3 linked regions of the Daphnia pulex genome follow. The protein of the gene in region 2 interacts with the protein of the main gene of each other region in a biochemical or structural test. Links are inferred from orthologs where the notes say so. Each region holds a gene or a part of one and is shown on either strand. Other genes may lie near its edges.

Evidence for each region.
Region 1: the proteins of ubiquitin-conjugating enzyme E2 S-like (region 2) and RING-box protein 2-like form a complex in vitro, tested with the Homo sapiens proteins (3 studies listed by BioGRID). The link is inferred for Daphnia pulex from reciprocal best matches to the Homo sapiens genes UBE2S and RNF7.
Region 3: of the proteins of ubiquitin-conjugating enzyme E2 S-like (region 2) and ubiquitin-like modifier-activating enzyme 1, one has a biochemical effect on the other in vitro, tested with the Homo sapiens proteins (8 studies listed by BioGRID, with this or other methods). The link is inferred for Daphnia pulex from reciprocal best matches to the Homo sapiens genes UBE2S and UBA1.

The regions. Positions count from the first base shown.
Region 1 is NC_060024.1:9,938,701-9,943,001, reverse strand, and holds the start of RING-box protein 2-like, read left to right. Parts: upstream 1-1,432; 5' UTR 1,433-1,545; intron 1,546-1,710; 5' UTR 1,711-1,733; coding exon 1,734-1,902; exon of another isoform or gene 1,903-2,429; coding exon of another isoform or gene 2,430-2,708; intron 2,709-2,780; coding exon of another isoform or gene 2,781-3,610; intron 3,611-3,669; coding exon of another isoform or gene 3,670-3,793; intron 3,794-3,858; coding exon of another isoform or gene 3,859-4,301. Other genes in the region: tyrosine-protein kinase Shark-like, read right to left, coding at 1-63, 124-367, 451-638, 716-880, 946-1,083, 1,162-1,273; facilitated trehalose transporter Tret1-2 homolog, read right to left, coding at 2,430-2,708, 2,781-3,610, 3,670-3,793, 3,859-4,301. UniProt on the Homo sapiens protein: Catalytic component of multiple cullin-5-RING E3 ubiquitin-protein ligase complexes (ECS complexes), which mediate the ubiquitination and subsequent proteasomal degradation of target proteins.
Region 2 is NC_060023.1:8,631,996-8,635,407, reverse strand, and holds ubiquitin-conjugating enzyme E2 S-like, read left to right. Parts: upstream 1-1,531; 5' UTR 1,532-1,693; coding exon 1,694-1,702; intron 1,703-1,780; coding exon 1,781-1,925; intron 1,926-1,995; coding exon 1,996-2,186; intron 2,187-2,244; coding exon 2,245-2,388; intron 2,389-2,449; coding exon 2,450-2,596; 3' UTR 2,597-2,904; downstream 2,905-3,412. Other genes in the region: ADP-ribosylation factor-like protein 6-interacting protein 1, read right to left, coding at 276-406, 474-558, 635-738, 801-934, 997-1,130, 1,196-1,225; uncharacterized protein LOC124197881, read left to right, coding at 3,202-3,273, 3,378-3,412. UniProt on the Homo sapiens protein: Accepts ubiquitin from the E1 complex and catalyzes its covalent attachment to other proteins. Catalyzes 'Lys-11'-linked polyubiquitination.
Region 3 is NC_060018.1:5,971,923-5,974,184, reverse strand, and holds the end of ubiquitin-like modifier-activating enzyme 1, read left to right. Parts: coding exon 1-218; intron 219-274; coding exon 275-417; intron 418-489; coding exon 490-981; intron 982-1,047; coding exon 1,048-1,374; 3' UTR 1,375-1,759; downstream 1,760-2,262. Other genes in the region: uncharacterized protein LOC124207205, read left to right, coding at 2,150-2,262. UniProt on the Homo sapiens protein: Catalyzes the first step in ubiquitin conjugation to mark cellular proteins for degradation through the ubiquitin-proteasome system.

The sequences.
Region 1 (4,301 bases), on a different chromosome or scaffold from region 2:
GTGAGATGGGTCCATGATACCAGTCCTCTTTTCTGGTGAACGGAAATGGAGGTTTGTAGGACTCTGTGATAAAACAGACCAATTTAAGGAAATCCATCAGCTTTGAAATAATGTGATCCATACCTAATCGTCGTGCGCATTGATAGAAACCATTTTTTCTAGCTAAGTCAGCGGGAGTTTGATCTTCTTTAGTGCGTGACAATGGTGTTACAGACATTGCCATCATGATTTTCACACAATCGAGATGTCCTCGACTAGCAGCCTCGTGAAGGGGAACCATTCCGGTCAAACGGTGTCGGATTTGAGGGCTAGCTTTGAACTCCAGCAAAGTCTTTAAGCATTCGTGATGATTGTGTATACAAGCATACTAAACAATTCAAGAGAGGTTAATCATTAAATAAGCTACAGGGAAGGGTATTAATAAATGATTTAACTACTGTTATTAATTACATGTAGTGGAGTGAGGTCTGCATCATCCTTAACATTGACATTTCCTCCTCCTTGGATAAGAAGTTTAAGAATCATATTATTCCCCAAAAAGGCAGCTAAATGGATTGCAGTCTGTCCAATTTCGTTCTTAGCGTCGATACTCCTGTAGGAGCCACCTCGAAGTAATTCTGATACTACAGTTAGGTTGCCTGTTGAATAATTGGTAGTGACCTTGATACTTGATACTAAGGGAATCTCAGACAGATGAAAAATGCTTGGCAATCACCTTCTTTGGTAGCTCTATGCAATAGATTACATCTTCCATGACACCTTGTATCAACAGGTGGCAAATCTTTTTTGCAAGGTCGGTTAAGTGGTCCAAAAATAGAAGAGCCCTCTTTCTGACAAAGAGTAATGAGAGCATCAAGGCCATGAACAATGTATCCATCTTCTGCAAGGGGACAAAAAATTTATAATGAATGTAAATTAATGTAAAAAAATGCTTCAATGGCAAACCAATTGAAAAAAATGCATCAGCCCCATGTCGATTTATTTGGTAATGCCTGGGCTCTCCTTGGTGACGAACACTTAATATGAAAGCTCCATCAACTGTGGGGCTCTCTCTCACCAAAAATAGTCCTTCAGAGTCATCTTCTGCAGGCATAAATATGGAAAAATAAGATCACAATTTTAATAGATAGGCTACAAAAAAAAATATTATTTTAAACAGACCATTAGTAAGTAGAGCTTCAGCCTCTTGCCTGTTGATTTTCCCATGAAACCACCTTAGGTCTTGGTCAGTTTCGTCTCTTGAAGGTCGTCGAGACATGGTATTGAAATTCATTTATAAAGGTTAAAAGAGCTAGATTAAAAGTCAAAATTTTTCTTCATGTTATTTTTATCAGAGAGTAGTCAAAGGGAGTTCCTTCCTGTCAGTGGCTGAACCAAAATTGAACCGAATATGCACTTGTGATTATAAGTCAGCTGAGCGAGCGCCGAGCGGGCTAGCAGACGACATAAACAATATCTCAGCATACAATTCTGAGAGCTCCTTTGCTGTGGTTTTCAATTTTTTACTGGCCCAAAATTCTGTGTTCATAATTCATATAGCTAAAAGTAAGCTTATTTTACCCATTCTTATCTTTTGATTATGTACCTGCATTCTATTGTGTATAGTTGTCAATCATATCCAATCAAACCTTAATGCAACTATTGCTTTCACTTCAATATGTCAGTCAATGTTAAAAATCATGTTAAATGTTTTTGTTTATTTTTTTACAGGTTTTTTTATTCTACTGCAGAAAATGGCAGATGATATTGATATGGAGAAATCAGTGGAAAAAACCACAGTTGGTAATGACTGTGTAGTCAAAACTGAAAAGATGTTCTCATTGAAACGGTGGAATGCAGTTGCTATGTGGAGCTGGGACGTTGAGTGTGAAATTTGTGCCATTTGCAGAGTTCAAGTTATGGGTAAGTCCCAATTTCAATATGTTTGTTAAGAAGGGTTAGAGACAAGAACTATTTTAAAGGAAAATGTTTAAAATTTATTTGTGGTTCTGGTATATTTACATTTCACAAAATATTCAGAAATTATCTGGTTTTCACATTTTCAACTAAATACTAAAGGGGTGGGGTGTCGGCAAGGTTGTAGTTATGGGGGTTGATGAGAAGTTTACCATTTTACAATGTTCTGTACCCTGCCTGATGTAGTAATGTACATAAATATTTTGGAAGATAAAACAATTAGAAAAGATTCGTAGTCTGCTGGGTATTAGGAGAAACAGTCGTATTTATAAATAACGAATCCTAATTGTTCTATTCCTAATTATAAGGCTATCTTTAAACTTTCCTGGGAAGAAATAAGGTAGAACAGAACAGATCATTCAGAGATTTGAGGAATTGAAGACATCATTTGATTAAAGAAAGGAATAGTCTTATGTACAAAAACATTGTCCGCACTGTTAAGACGTCCAACGTTGAAAAATAATTGGTCGCCTTTACAGCCTAGTAGATTCGATATCTTTTTTCGGTTTCTTTTCAAGCATACTTTTCTCGATACTCTCCAAACTGTGTCCCTTGGTCTCTGGTACGAAGAAGATAACGAAAAAGATGCTGATAAAGCAGAAGAAACCAAAAAACCAGAACGCTCCATGGGCGCCGATCGTCGCTATCAGGTCGTTGAAGAATTTAGTTACTGCGAAGCTGCAAGCCCAGTTGAAAGCTGTAGCTACAGATGCAGCGTGACCACGAACCTTGCTTGGGAAAATTTCTCCCATCTAAATTAGCCAAATAGAAATTTTGTTAGGATTGAATTTTTTTCAAACAGCCATCACATTTTAATAACGTACCATAAGCCAAGGGATAGGTCCATAACCGATGGAAAAGGCGACGATGTAGACTATGAATGTAGTCAGTGGAAGCCAACCGACGTGTTCGAGATCATGTTCAAGGTGTTGCAGAATGAAGAAGACTCCCAATGCGCCGAGGCTGATTGCCATAAAGAATCCGGATATGTTGAGTAAAACTTTACGGCCTACTCGGTCGATGACCATATTTGAGCCCAGTGTAGCCATAAAGTTAGCCAACCCAATAATGATGGAAGAGAGGTTGCTATCTACACTTCCGCCAGATTTTTCAAAAATAGACACGGTGTAAAAGATGACCGCGTTGATGCCAGAAAGTTGCTGAAAGAACATGAGTCCGAGTGAAATGAGTAGGGGCCGTAGGTAGGCAATTTTCAAAAGTTCTCTGGCTCCACCACCGACGCTCTGATTCTTGTAATTGTTTTCAATTTCGAGAAACTCGTCTTGAACGTTAGTTTTGCCCCCACGGAGCCACTGTAGAGATTCGCGAGCTTCGGTATAACGGCCTTTAGAGATGTACCAACGTGGTGTTTCCGGAATGAACCACATGAAAGCTAAAAAGGGTAGAGGAAGAGCTGCTCCGATGGCCGCCAATACTTTCCAGTCGATGTAGGAGCCCAGAATGTAGCAAAACAAGATGCCTATGTTGCCTATCGTGGTGGGCAACAGGCCCAGCGATCCTCTGACCTCCGGTTGAATAGTTTCACCCAAGTAGATGGGCAGCGTCAAGGTAGTAAGGCCCACGCAAAATCCCTGGATTGAACGTCCGGCGTAGACCATGGGCAGGTTTGTAGCAAACGTGATGAGTAACCAAGCTAGATGAAGAAAGCAAATATTAATATTTTGAATTCAATGACACTGTTGCGTTACTTACACAAAATGTATGGTGGCCCGGTAGCCATGATGGTCGTCTTCCGGCCAAAATGCTCGACAATACTTCCACCGACAATGCCACCGATTAGAGCGTTAAGCGGCATTAAGCTCCCGATCCATGACGCCTAAGAATTGAATGATTTCCAGTTAGTTTTTGTTTGGTATTAGGGATTTTAGTCTAGTTACTAACCTCTTGGTCGTTTACGGGAATAGAACTGTTGGGTTGTGTCATAGAAGCTAGGGCAGGAGAAGTATAGCCAGATGAGTACCCCTCGATCAAAGCTGCTATGGCCAGGGCCAGCGAAGCCAACACTTGAGGGAAAAGCCTTCCACGACTTTTGCGACTTGCGGGTTCCATTTTAAATGAAGGATCTGGGAACGTAATGATCTGTGAGACATTGGACAGCCTATCGTTGTCTTTATTTTCGTCGGGATTTTCCATTGCCATATTGTCTTCTTCTTTCGAGTCAGCTGGCATGATTGGATTCAGAGCAATCAACGATTCGCTGACGACCATTGAAGTGGAAGGTATAGCTAACGGGTCTTTTGAATCGGAATTGTTGAGTCGAGCTTGAGCCAACGTTTCAGCCAGCTGTTGGTAAACTACGGAAGTTTGATCGACAGTGGCTTCGC
Region 2 (3,412 bases):
GAGGCAAATTTTACTAAAATGTACAATTTCTAAACGTACATCATAATAATTTAAGTACTTCTGAATCACGGAATTTTAAAGTTCGTTGCTCCAGTTTGAACTTAAGAAAACTAGGAAACAAAACGAACAAAGAGAATTATCTTGATTGAACATTCAAGCACAGAAATCAAAGACTAGTATGCCAAAATACCATTAAAAAAAAGCCCCAATCGTGATTTAAAAACCTAAGATAGTAGAGACACAAACTCTGACTTTGAGACTCATCAAGTTCCCATTTACTTATTTTTAACGGAATCCTTTTCTGTATACGATCGGATGCCATTGGTGACTCGGTGTAGGAATATCGACAGAAATTTTGATAGTACTTCGTTGTGTTTGACGCCAGGATACAATGAGATGAGTGTGACTATAACAATCAAAATGCTGATTACAATTCAGAATACTAAATAGTTTTAATTAATAATATTACATACCAAGAATAAAACAAATGAGCCAATTGTTGACTGTATAACCAATCCAAGCTGAAAGACTGCAGAATGAAAAGAGTGACAAGAAATACTGGAAGATAAAACATAACAACAGGTTACATTTAAAAATATCAAAATCTATGCACTGTATCAATTAAAGAAATCACCATTTTAGGATTTGTCCTTTTGAGATCAATAAAATATGTCATCTGGTTGTAAATTTTATCTTGAGTTTTCACCAGAGTTTCACAGATTATCTCAAACTTTTTCTCTATGGAGAAATGATCAAGTTACCTTTTGATCAAGTAAGAAAATGAGATGAAGAATGTATACCATTCAATGCTGTCCATTGATGAGGTTGTGATATACAGCTACATATTCTAGGAACACTGTAATCAATCAAACTGAGTATCAGAAAAAATAGAGATACGGAGGTGATGATTGGAGGATTCCAATACCAGTACATCCTAATAAACGAACAGAAACTTTATCATGTCACAGGAAAAATTTTTAAAAATATAGAACCTACAGAAATACAGTGCTAATGGTTCCAACAATAGGTGCAGGGTACCAGGATTCAGTCCATATGAGGACAGAATACAAGGCAACGAGAAAAACACGCCAGGTTTCAATACGCCGTTTTAGAGATTTTATCCTCTTTTCCTGAAATTGGGCAGAAAAACATAAACAATGGGTTTAGTGTGCTGCAAACAAACGAAAATAGTCACCTGGTCGGATACAAGAAGGATATCAGGCATTTTGAAACCTATTATATTAGACAGTTTTAAGAAACCAAGAGCCCGAGACGGCACGTATAAAAAAATAGAATAAATATTATGGCATGTGAGAAAGGTTCGTGACTCACACGCAACGTTGACAAGGACCTTGAAAATAGAATGTGAAACTCGCGAGTTGCAAATTACTTGAAATTCAACGCAGATTTTTCACGAATAAAAACCAATTCATGTCGAAAGAAAATGTTTTTATTTTAAAATCATAAAAAAAATAAATAAATTTTTCGAATACGTTTTTTTTAAATTGGTACCCATTTCGGCAACGGTGTGCATCTTGTATTCTTGTTGTCTCTGAACTCTGAGGCCAAAATTTCCTGATATTGTCCAAATTCTAACCGTTCTAACGGTCGTATCAAAATTCTTTTCAAATTTACTCTTCCGTTTTCTGTTTCGTGAACATATCACTTTTCTGCTCTTTTGTTTTTAACCCTCATGGCTTCAGTAAGTTTTTAGAAAATTGAGTTACAGCTTGCAATTTTAGACTTTAAAGTTGCGCCCATTTTGAACCGTTTAATCTAGGTTTCGTTTGAAAACTTGGCACCTCAAGTTAGTCGCCAAATTTGCAAGGAACTTCAACAGCTTATTAGTGATCCACCTGAAGGCATCAAAGTTATTCTCAATGAAGAAGACATATCTGATATTCAAGCCATTATTGATGGACCTGGTAAGAGTAATTCTCATTTAAAAATAAAGCCTAAAATTAAATCATTTTAAATCATTTCCCCCACAATCAGCTGGTACCCCATATGCTAGTGGACATTTTAGAGTAAAATTAGTGCTAGGAAAAGATTTCCCCTCTGGTCCTCCGAAAGGTTTCTTTTTAACCAAAATATTTCATCCCAATGTCTCGCAACAAGGCGAAATTTGTGTCAACACCTTGAAGAAAGATTGGAAGCCTGATCTGGGTATCAAACATATATTTCTGGTGCGACTATTTAAGAGTTCAATTCTATTTCACAACTAACCTAAAATCTCTTTTTTAGACTATCAAATGTTTGCTAATTGTCCCCAATGCAGAGTCGGCTTTGAATGAAGAGGCTGGCAAGCTCTTATTAGAGCATTATGAAGATTACTTTCAAAGAGCAAAAATGATGACTGAAATTCATGCCAAAGTTAGTCAAAATCAGGTAAACAAAACCAAATTTACCAACTTACTGTATTTATTTCATTTTCATTCCTTGATTGAAGTCGAACGCGGATGCCCACTTGAATGAAGACAACAACCCAACGGAAGGCCCTACAGCATCGAAAAAAGCTGCTACTGATCGCACAGTTTTGGCGGATAAGAAAAAGCCAGTGGCCAAGGACAAAAAGAGAACATTGAAGAGATTATGAGCGTCACTGTACATAAATGCCTTTTTCTCTGTTTCTTCTTGCTTCACATCTAGCAACGGTTTGAAAATATCCGTAGTCTTTCTCAGCGATAAACTCCATAATTCTCCATCTCCCATACCATTTGAATTGTTTCGTTCCCGCACTTCTATGCAGTGCGCGTTATTTAACGAGCAAATCTATCCATGTCTAGTTTTTACACTCGCGGAAGGGAGGAGAGTGTTGATTCAGTTTCCTTTTCTTTCTCTTAATTTTATGCTGATTTTTCAGTCGTGTGAGGTCGAAGGAAATATAAAAAAATTTGCTGATAACCCATTCAACTCATATTTTTACCTTTAGTAAGTTATCACAGGTTACATTTAATTATTGATTTGCTGTGAACGTTTAAGATTTTCTTGGAATCGCACTTTAATGGTTCGTTTCCCTGAATCTATTATAAATCCCTTAACCCCAGGTTACTCACTCGGAAGGTAATTTGGCGAGTGCAATTATCTTGGGAGTAACGACCTTGCACCACCTTTAGCAGGACCACACCAACCTCACTCACAACCTCATTTGACCTGCACCTTCGGTTGTGTACAGTTTGAACCAGTCTCTACGTTCCCACTATGCGACTTTTAATCATTTTAATTTTGTTCGTGACATGGACTGTTTGCGAAGACGACACCGAGTTAATCGAGGTAACATTTGAAACGGCCGATTGCTGTTTGGTTCGTAGAAGGTCATTGATCCAAGTTCAAAAACCTCCACTCAAATTGTGACTTTCCCATTTAACATTTTTCAGAAAAATTCAACAGCAGTTCGCGTCAAGAGAACATT
Region 3 (2,262 bases), on a different chromosome or scaffold from region 2:
ATATTTAGTTGATTCTAAATTCATGGAGAGAACACTAAAGCTAACAGGATCTCAACCACTCGAGATAGTCGAGGCCGTCCACCGCAGCTTAGTTGAGGAACGTCCGAAGAATTTTGAGCAGTGTGTTCAATGGGCTCGCCTCCATTGGCAGGAACAATATCACAATCAGATCAAGCAATTATTGTTTAATTTTCCACCCGAGCAACTTACTTCTTCTGGTAAAATCTATTGATAAAGTGTAATTTACTTTGTATATAATTTTTTGTTTTGACAGGTCAACCGTTTTGGTCGGGACCTAAACGCTGTCCTCATCCATTGGAATTCGATATCACTAACCCCGTCCATTTGGATTATGTGGTTGCGGCTGCTAATCTAAAAGCTAAAATTTACAACATCCCACAGTCGCGCGATGTACAGGTGAGTTCACTTTTTTTAGTTAAAACATAATTTGATTTACAGTTGTTTTTATCCCCTCGGACTCGAATATAGGCTATTACTAAAATGGTGGAATCGTGTGTCGTACCGGAATTCGTACCACGTTCAGGAGTCAGAATTGCTGTTTCGGATGCGGAAGCTGCTGCTGCCGCCAACAACCCAGGCATGCTTGATGAAGACAGACTTACCCAGCTGCAGACGGAGTTGCCATCTGTGGACTCTCTGTCCGGCTTGCGCATTCTCCCCCTCGAATTTGAAAAGGATGACGACACCAACTTTCATATGGATTTCATCGTAGCCTCTTCTAACTTGCGGGCAGAGAATTATGATATCGCACCGGCCGATCGCCACAAGAGCAAACTTATTGCTGGAAAGATTATTCCAGCCATTGCTACTACTACCTCCGTCGTTTCAGGCTTGGTCTGCATCGAACTTTTGAAGTTGGTACAGGGTCATACCAATCCTGAGGCATTTAAGAACGGGTTTATCAACTTGGCTCTTCCGTTCTTTGGCTTTTCTGAACCAATCGCTGCTCCCAAGCAAACGGTATTGTTGGAAAATATTTTAATCGATTCGTTAACTAAAAAATTTTTTGTTTGTATTTGATTAAAGTATTACGACAAGGAATGGACCTTGTGGGATCGTTTTGAAGTGGAGGGTGAAAAGACGCTCCGGCAATTTATTGATTACTTCGAAAGCGAACACAAGCTGAAAATCACCATGCTTTCACAGGGTGTTTGCATGCTTTATTCGTTCTTTATGCCGCAAGCTAAACGAAGCGAACGTATGGATCTCCCCATGTCAGAGGTTGTCAAGCGTGTGTCGAAGAAGAGACTGGAGCCTCATGTCAAAGCACTCGTCTTCGAGTTATGCTGTAATAACCTTGAAGATGAAGACGTTGAAGTGCCCTACGTCCGTTACGTGCTCCCGACCGAATAAAACTATTTGATTACTCTACGTTGTGCGGCGGGTTGGGGGTTGGTTCATATTTGATTTCAAGGTTATTTACTACCATAATCATCAGTTCACTTGCGCTATATCCAATGTTGTGGACTATTAGCTTAGTTCGTTGCTTTCTTTAATTCTAAATAGAATTCTCTATGGAAGTTATGTTGACCTGGGTCATTTATAATCAATTCCAAGAGTTCTTTCTTCGTGCCAGTGAGTATTAAATGTTACCGATTGGATTAACAAAGGGCAAAAATCCTTACTCTACATGGCTGCAACTTTTTCAACAACCTCCCTTTCAACCCTTCCCCGTTTACCGATTGTACAACTGGCCTTGAATATTGGTATGAAGTTAATACATGCCGTCAAAATTAAATCCTATATAAAAATGTTTTTTTTTTTATCAAGTGCATTATCAACGTACTTAGCAAGTCTTTGACTTTGGTCGATTGATGATAAATCAATTGAGATAAATCAATGGCTGAAAGTTCGATTTATTCAATATTTATTCAATTAAAAATCTTCTTAATGATGTTACGGTATTGTCGTTTTATCGTAACAAAAATCAAAGTTTGCAATCGTCGTTTCGTAGGCAAAAATTTGTTAAAATAAAACATTAAATTATGACTTTGATTCTTGAAACTAGATGGCGTATCCCGCGACTGTTTAAATTTCCCGGTTTAAAAAAAATGGGGCTGGGATGATAAGAGTCGACTGCTCACTTGTTGTGTTAAAATCGTATAATATTCGCTAAACATTTAGTTCAATGGAAGTGGACGACAGCAAAAATTCATTCTTGTTACGAATCATCGACAATATGGCGAAGCAAGGCATGGCGAGTTTGTCTGGCGAGTCTGGGCCTCACGTCTCTCGTTACTT